Linked DNA regions of Ovis aries. The protein of the gene in region 1 binds, or shares a complex with, the protein of each later gene. Links are inferred from orthologs where the notes say so. Each region holds a gene or a part of one and is shown in the gene's direction. Other genes may lie near its edges. The genes, in order: BANP and IRF2BP1.

The links.
Region 2: BANP (region 1) and IRF2BP1 share a complex: the UniProt entries of both Homo sapiens proteins name them as parts of the corepressor complex. The link is inferred for Ovis aries from reciprocal best matches to the Homo sapiens genes BANP and IRF2BP1.

Annotation. Positions count from the first base shown.
Region 1 is NC_056067.1:12,928,866-12,933,354, forward strand, and holds the start of BANP (protein BANP), read left to right. Parts: upstream 1-1,689; 5' UTR 1,690-2,357; intron 2,358-4,489. UniProt on the Homo sapiens protein: Controls V(D)J recombination during T-cell development by repressing T-cell receptor (TCR) beta enhancer function. Binds to scaffold/matrix attachment region beta (S/MARbeta), an ATC-rich DNA sequence located upstream of the TCR beta enhancer.
Region 2 is NC_056067.1:53,189,925-53,194,156, reverse strand, and holds IRF2BP1 (interferon regulatory factor 2-binding protein 1), read left to right. Parts: upstream 1-1,301; 5' UTR 1,302-1,621; coding exon 1,622-3,376; 3' UTR 3,377-3,794; downstream 3,795-4,232. UniProt on the Homo sapiens protein: Acts as a transcriptional corepressor in a IRF2-dependent manner; this repression is not mediated by histone deacetylase activities. May act as an E3 ligase towards JDP2, enhancing its polyubiquitination. Represses ATF2-dependent transcriptional activation.

The DNA of each region.
Region 1 (4,489 bases):
CCCACTTGTGCTTCATCCAGCCCAGCATTTTGCACTATGTACTCTACATGTAAGTTAAATAAGCAGGGTAACAATATACAGGATTGACCACACTCCTTTCCAAATTTGGAACCAGTCCCATTGTTCCATGTCCTGTTCTAACTGTTGCTTCTTGATCTGCATATAGGTTTCTGAGGAGGCAGGTAAGTTGGTCTGGTATTTCCATCTCTTTAAGAATTTTATTGACCACTCTCCCCTTCCCTCTCTCTTTCGTCTCCTTAACCCTTCCTATCCTTCCCTGTTTTTCTACTCCCCCGGGCCTGGACACAGGAATCTGGTCAAAGGGCCCTCAGCCTGAGCTGAGGATTGGCGACTGATCACCCCCTCTTGGCAGAGAACTCGAATTCTGGTTCTGGTCTGGTCTGATTTCTGGTAGGGTCGAGTTTCAGTCCTCCCTTCTCTGGAGGCCAGGGAAAAGTCCCATAATACCTGGGCATCTGTAGGTGGCAGGAGATGTCTGTAAGGCCACCCCTTTCGTCCCCCCCTCTCCTGCCTCCTCCCCCTTCTTCTTTCAACCTGGCTTCCTTTCCTCCCTTGAAATCTTTGATGTTAGTACCTGGATCTGAAGTTCTGTGTCTCTATAGGAGGTTTTCTGAGAGACTGTATTCTTGTATTTAAGGGCTTCCCTGGTGGTGCAGAGGTTAAAGCGTCTACCGGCAATGTGGGAGAGCTGGGTTTCATCCCTGGGTTGGGAAGATCCCCTGGAGAAGGAAATGGCAACCCACTCCAGTATTCTTGCCTGGAGAATCCCATGGACGGAGGAGCTTGGTGGGCTACAGTCCACGGGTTGCAAAGAGTCGGACACGACTGAGGGACTTCACTGTCACTTAATAAGAATTTTCCAGTTTGTTGTGATCCACACAGTCAAAAGTTTTAGCATAGACAATGAAGGAGAAGTAGATATTCTTCTGGAATTCTCTTGCTTTTTGTATGATCCAACAGATGTTGGCAATTTGATCTCTGGTTCCTCTCTGCCTTTTCTAAGGATACATAACAAACATCACAATACATAACATCAATTACACATAAAATATATATCACATATAATTAATATATATTTTTCTAGGAGCGTGTCTTTGAACCTGTGACGAACCTGGGAACCCCTGAGCTCGCCTGCTACTCAGGGGAACCCCGCTGCAGCAGTGGCCAGAGCCGCGCCCGGTGCAGCGGCCTTGCACACCTCAACTACAAGTCCCAGCATTCCATGCGCTGGCACGGGTCGGGGGGGATGGGACCACAAGTACCAGCAGGCTTCGCGCAGACGCAGGAACCACGAGTCCCAGAATGCACTGCTCGAGGCTTGCGCAGGGCCCTCCGGGACATGTAGTCGTCTATGGCGCTAATTCCTATTCATTAGGCCTCAAAGAAAATGCAAATTCCCCGAACGGTCCACCAACGCGACTTTTCAGGGGCTAGTGAGAAGCCTGAACGCGTGACAGAGAAGTAAGAAGTTTGGAGGCCAATCTGTGGCGAGGATGCAGGACCCGTGCGCATGCCCGGCGGTCGTCGGCGCCAGCCCAGCGCGGGCGGGAGATTCCGAGCAGCAGGCCCCGCCCTCGCGCCCTGCCCCGTCCCCGTTCCTCCTCCCGGTGAGCCTGCGCAGATGGTGCAGGGCGGAGGGCCGCGGGGAGGGACTCGCGGCGCCTGCGCAGAGCGGCGGCTTCTCTCGCGAGGACGGACGCCATTATCGCATCTCCCCGACAAACACCACGAGAATTCCGCAGCCCACACGGTAATTGCAGCTCCCGCAGCCGGTCGCGTCTCCACCTCCCCCTTCCCGCGGGGCGAGAGCGAGAGCGAGATCTCCCCTCCTCCCTCCTCCCTGCGCCCTCCTCCGGCCGCGGCGCCCGCGCCGCCGCCCCCGCCCCCCCGACACGGCCACCGGCCCCAACGGCCCGCCGTCCTGTGCGCCCCCGTCTCAGCCCTGTCAAGCCGCCTGCCCGCCGCGCCTCAGCGCACCCGCACCTGGCTCCGGCCGCCCATCCCCCGGCCCGCCGCCCCCGCCGTCGCGGTGCGCGGGGTCCGTCGCGGAGCGGGCCTCCCTTCCGGGACCAGGCCCGCAAGAGCAGCGTCCGGCCGCGGGCGGGCGGGGTGGGGTCGCGCTGCTGTTGCTGCGGTGTAGCCGCTCCGGGTCGTGAGGCCACGGGCTGGCAGGCGGCTAGGCGGCTCCCCCCCGGGAGGCCGGCGGCCGCGGACGCGGGGACAGCGGCTGCGGGCGGAAGTGCGGGAGGCGGCTGTTCTCGCTGGGCGGGCGGCGGGCCCGAGTGAGGAGCGGCCCTGGGGACCCCTGCCCGGTGCTCGGAATCTTCGAGCCGCCGGTAACGTTAACTCCGTGTGTTTAAAGCTCCTTTGCCCCCCCTTGTCTGGCGATTAAAATAAGCGTTTCCTCCTGGGACGTCGGGTCCTGTCACGGCTCCAATTTTGAGAAAGCTGATGCCGTGTGTGGGTCCAGTGCTGCGGCCAGTCCCGCCGGCGTTTCCAGCGCTTCTCATCGCGGCGGTCGGGTCAGGGGGACAGGGAGGTGGCTGCGGCCCACGGAGGGAAGGGGCTTCCCTGGGTCACACGGCCAGGTTTGAATGCGATCTGTCCCAAGTCCATGTTCTGAAAAAACTGCACACGTTTGATACTTTAATAAAGTAATGCCGCAAAGTGTCAATGGAAGACTATAAAACAACAGCCCCCACCCCACCTCCCAGTTCCACTCCTCCAAGACTTTATATTTTTGCTGTTTCATGAGGAAGTTCTTCGTTGCTATAAATAATAAGCTGGCACTTTACTGGTTTTATACATTCCTGACTTGCTGTTAACAGATAGGATGACTGACTTTTTCATATCGCGTCTCACCTCTATCCCCTGATCACTATGTTCAGTTCAGATTGTTTATAACTAAGCAGATATTCACAGCTAGGTAGTCTATTTCCCCTGTTATACGGGTTTTTGCTTTTTTCTGTTGTTTGTGATGGCCTTTCTTTTTCTTTGCACTTTTTGTTCCTGTTGACTCTTTACCTTTTATTATTTTTTTAACTATTCCCCGAGGCATGTGGGATCTTAGTTCTCTGGGGATTGAACCTGTTCCCCCTGCAATGGAAGCATGGAGTCTCAACCACTGGACTGCTAGGGAAGTCCCACTTTACCTTGTTTTAGATTCTGAAGGATGGCACTAAATCTCTCTTACCATCCCCCTCTCCCCAGCCTTGTGGTGGTCTTTTTCTAATCTGGATTGTTTACTCCTTAGACCAGCACCAGTATCATCTTGACATTTTTTTTTTTACTATATACAACTGAGTTTGTTCAGGTCTCGTGTTTTAATCTTGACTTCCTTTATTTCAGTGAGAACCTACTGCCAAGTAGCCTTATTCCTTTTGGATAACTCTTCAGGATCCTCTTTGGTATTAAGACATTTCCGGAATTCCCGAAAACTGTGTAGAGTCCTACTCTGACTGCTTTCTGACTCTGGGGACTTGTCCTTCAGCTCTGGAATCTGAAAGTCTTGTGTCATTTGAGAATGTCTTCTGCTCTGCTTTTGGTGGTGGTTTAGTCGCTAAGTTGTCCGACTCTTGTGGCCCCACGGACTGTAGCCTACCAGGCTTCTCTGTCCGTGGGACTCTCCAGGCAAGAATACTGGAGTGGGTTGCTATTTCCTTCTCCAGCTCTGCTTTTACTCTTCTGTTTTAGGAGTTTCTGTTAGTTTGATGATGGACATCTTGGATTAACCCTCTGAATCTTCTGTCATTATCTTCTTCCTGTGTCATCTTATTCTTGTTTCTGGGATAGAAACATTTATCCTCCAGTCCTACTTAAAAATTTTTCATTTCCACAATCAAAGTTTAATTTCTAAGGATTTATAATGTTCTTTTTTCATAATAATGTATTGTTTGATGAATGCATTTTTCTCCTTGACTTTGGGGATACTAGTAAGGGTTTTTTTGGTTCCCTTTTGTTCTCTGATTTCTTGTGTTCTGTTGTGTCACTGTTCTTTTCCTCTTTTTAAAAAGACGGGCTTCTTGCTTTGTGTGGCAAGTACTCTTCAAATACTGGAATTATTGTTGTCTAAGGCCAGAGGAAGCAGGCAGAGAACTCATGAGTTTGGGGGGCTGATTTTTTGGTCACACTCACATGGTGGCTTATGGAATTTTTGTTCCTCAACCAGGGATTGAACCTGGGCCCATAGCAGTGAAAGCATGGTGTCCTGACCTCTGGACCACCAGGGAATTCCCCCGTGGGACTGCTTTTGAAAATGTGCAGGTTTCCTATTGGGTTTTGGGGAACTTTTTGTTGTGCTGGGACCTCAAATGCCAGAAGGCAGATTTTCTCTGGGCCTCTCTGCTTAAGGAAGATGCCTTTGACTGGGGGCTGCTCCACTTGGTCTAGGGACGGCCCTTGTACAGCTCTTCGTACAGGGACCTGACTTCCATGTGCAGGCACAACCCTCACCCTCTCCTGGTTTGGA
Region 2 (4,232 bases), about 40 Mb from region 1:
TGTAGGTTCGATGCCTGCCTGGGTCAGGAAGGTTCCCTGGAGAAGGAAATGGCAACCCACTCCAGTCTTCATGCCTACTTCTTCGAACAGCCTGGCGGCCTACAATCCATGGGGTAGCCAAAGAGTCAAACAAGGCTTAGCGACTGGAGAACAACAGACCCAGGCCTAGAGAAAAGAGGCTGATGTAGGTTAGAATCTGGAAACCTGTCTCTCCTCCACATGCCCCCTTCTCCAAGCATGCCCTGCAGCGTTCCATCGCCGGGAAGCACGAGGGTCCCAAAAGCCTGCTTTTGCCTATCAGGTAGTAAGCACTCAAGGTTGGAAAAACGAGGTCTGGTTCTCGCTCTCCACAGAAACTATGCCCCACTTCCAACTCTTGCTATCTCTGGCCTCATTTTCTCCTTCCAAATTAGTGAGCCGTCGAGGTCGAGAGCTCCTCTCAACCGGGCGCTCCGAAACCCCAGAAATTGAGGTGGGGGGTGGGTTGTGGACAGACAGCGGGAATCGTGAAGGCCTCAATCAACCTCTCAGGCGGCGGAAGTGCGTCGGTTTGTCGGCCCCGCGGAGCATTTCGGGAATTGTAGTGAAGTTCTGCGGGGTGCGCAGAAACTGACAGTGTAACCCTTTGGAGACCAGAGCGCGCCGGCTGAACTGGAACAGGGGCATTCGACCACTCCCTTTGGCAGATAAAGCAACTGACGCGGAGACCTTGAGTCCTCTCTTCTCTCCGGTTTTCGCTTGCCCCAGTCAAGAATCTGATATCCAAGATTCTAGGCAAGACGAAGTGCCAAGTGGACAGCCCTACCCAACGCTTGAGTCGCCAGCTTCCTGTCCGCCCCCCTACCCTGAAACCTTCCAGTTAAGGCCCCTCCGCCCCCGTCCCACGAACTGCTGCCTTCAGTAACCGGTAGCCGGCCCACCTTTTGAAGGGCGGGGAACTGAATCTCAGAGAAGGCAAGACTTGCCTAAAGTTGCACAGCAAGTCGGAGTAGAAACCGGATGCCTGTCCACCTCCCGCAATTTCTGAATCCTCGGTGGCTCTCACCATCCGTATCACATCCTCGCCCCCAACCTTGGTCTCCAGCTGCTTGGAGCGACCAAACTCCCTCCCCCGCGGCGAGGAGTAATCACGGTTGCGCAGCGGAGAGGCAGCGAGCCCCAACCCTCCTGCAGCCTGCGGTCCCCTTTAAGAACAGGCCCCTGCGGGACTACGTTTCCCAGAAGGCTTTGCCGGTGCGTTATGTAACTTTCCCTGCGAAGCGGCCTCTGGGGCAGAAAGAGGCGGCGGCGGCTGCGGCGGCGGGAGAGGCGGGAGCCCGAGGCGGCGGCGCCCGCGGCCCATCGCGGGGCCCGAGCTGTGCGCCGCGGCCCGGATCCTGGACCCGGCGGGGGCGCCGACGTGCCTCTGCCAGTCTTTTCGAGGAGGCGGGAGTGAGGAAAAAGGCTTAGGGCCCAGGGGGCGGGGAAGGGGGGCCGGGCCTGGATCCACTGGGAGGCCGAGCGAAAGGCCTGGCGGTGGCTCGCGCGGTCCCGGGGACGCGAATCAAACGGCGGCGGCGCGGATTGAACGGCGGCGGCGGCGGGTGGAAGGCGAGAGCCCGAACGGGCGCGTGCGGGGGCTATGGCGTCCGTGCAGGCGTCCCGCCGCCAGTGGTGCTACCTGTGCGACCTGCCCAAGATGCCGTGGGCCATGGTGTGGGACTTCAGTGAAGCCGTGTGCCGCGGATGCGTGAACTTCGAGGGCGCGGATCGCATCGAGCTGCTCATTGATGCCGCCCGCCAGCTCAAGCGCAGCCACGTGCTCCCCGAGGGCCGTTCTCCGGGGCCCCCAGCCCTCAAACACCCGGCCACTAAGGACCTGGCTGCCGCCGCCGCACAGGGCCCTCAGTTGCCGCCTCCACAGGCCCAGCCCCAGCCGTCGGGGACAGGCGGCGCTGTCTCCGGCCAGGACCGCTATGACAGGGCCACATCGTCGGGCCGCCTCCCCCTGCCCTCGCCCGCCCTGGAGTACACCCTGGGGTCCCGCCTGGCCAATGGACTGGGCCGTGAAGAGGCTGTGGCGGAGGGGGCGCGAAGGGCCCTGCTTGGCTCCATGCCCGGCTTGGTGCCCCCCGGGCTGCTAGCAGCTGCGGTGTCTGGCCTGGGAAGCCGAGGGCTGACGCTGGCACCCGGCTTGAGTCCTGCCCGTCCAGCTTTTGGCTCCGATTTCGAGAAGGAGAAGCAACAGAGGAATGCGGACTGTCTGGCAGAACTGAACGAGGCCATGAGGGGCCGGGCAGAGGAATGGCACGGGCGCCCCAAAGCCGTGCGGGAACAACTGCTGGCGCTGTCCGCCTGCGCCCCTTTCAATGTCCGTTTCAAGAAGGATCACGGGCTGGTGGGACGTGTGTTCGCCTTCGATGCTACTGCCCGCCCGCCAGGCTACGAGTTCGAGCTGAAGCTCTTCACCGAATACCCCTGTGGTTCTGGCAACGTGTACGCGGGAGTCCTGGCAGTCGCTCGCCAGATGTTTCATGATGCTCTGCGCGAGCCGGGCAAGGCGCTGGCCTCATCAGGCTTCAAGTACCTCGAATATGAACGCCGGCACGGCTCTGGGGAATGGCGCCAGCTGGGAGAGCTGCTAACGGATGGGGTCCGAAGCTTCCGCGAGCCAGCACCCGCCGAGGCCCTGCCCCAGCAGTATCCAGAGCCGGCCCCTGCAGCTCTCTGCGGCCCTCCCCCACGAGCCCCATCCCGGAATCTGGCTCCCACTCCACGCCGTCGCAAGGCCTCCCCTGAGCCCGAGGGCGAGGCAGCTGGGAAGATGACCACAGAGGAGCAGCAGCAGCGGCACTGGGTGGCACCCGGTGGCCCATTCTCCGCTGATGCCCCTGGTGTGCCCTCCCCTATCGCCGCCCTGAAGAACGTAGCCGAGGCCCTGGGCCACTCTCCCAAGGACCCTGCCGGGAGTGGGGGCCCTGTGCGCGCCGGGGGTGCCAGCCCCGCCGCCTCCTCCACGGCCCCACCTCCAGCCCAGCATCGTCTAGTGGCCCGCAACGGTGAGGCAGAAGTGAGCCCCACAGCAGGGGCGGAAGCTGTTAGCGGGGGTGGTAGTGGCACCGGGGCGACCCCTGGGGCCCCCCTGTGCTGCACCCTCTGCCGGGAGCGTCTGGAAGACACCCACTTCGTCCAGTGCCCCTCAGTGCCCGGACATAAGTTTTGTTTTCCCTGCTCCCGCGAGTTCATCAAGGCTCAGGGCCCTGCTGGAGAGGTGTACTGCCCCAGCGGAGACAAGTGCCCGCTAGTGGGCTCCTCTGTCCCCTGGGCCTTCATGCAGGGAGAGATCGCCACCATTCTTGCTGGAGACATCAAGGTTAAGAAAGAACGGGACCCCTAGGCCACTACTGCCACCAGTCTACTGCCTATCCACCCCCGCCCCCCTCCACCCCTTGCCACCCACCGCTGCTGCGGATAAATTATTCCCTCCCCTACCCAGGCCTGTGCCTCCCTCACCTGTGTACATACCCACTTCCTTATCCCAGATGGGTCCCCTGGGGTAGATGCATTGAGGGTGGGGGGAGAAAGCTGTCCGAGGGGGTGTTTGGGGTCCCCTGACCCCTCTGGTTTCCCTCTCCCCTCCTTGGCTTGGCTTTGCTGCTGCTTGTAGTTGAGGGAGAGGTGGCCCCCTCCTCCTTGAGAAGGGGCCTCCTGAAATCTCGCTCTTTATAAATGAAGCAAAAGCATTTTATTGCCGCCCCCCCCCCCCCATCTTACCCCCTTTCCCCCCTTCAATAAACCGAAAGATGGGTTTTTTCCTTCTTGGTCCCTTAGTTGTGTGCGATGCTGCGCCCCCTTTGGGACTAAACTGAACCTGCAAGGGAGAGGACGTCGCGTTGTAGCCTCCAGGTGGCGCCCTTCACTCAGGTGGGCTCACCGGCTGTTTTTACAAAGGCTGGCCTAGCCTTCTAGTCATCAGCCCGTTTTCCAGATGCCAGAACTAAGGCTCACGCGGGGAGCCGGGCGGGGGAAGGGGATGGCTCTTGAATGGTAGCCACAGCCAAGCTCGGGAATTAGGTTTCCCGTCTGGCCCATCCCCGGAAGGTAGAGGACACAGTGCCCCCGAGGGGGAGTGGAAAGAGGCTTCCCAGAAGGAACGAGCTGTGAGTTCTTGCTGGGTAGGGAGAAAATTAGGCCAGATTGCTAGGGGGAACTGCGCGAGGACATTTACCTCCTGAAGTGCACTAAACAGGGTC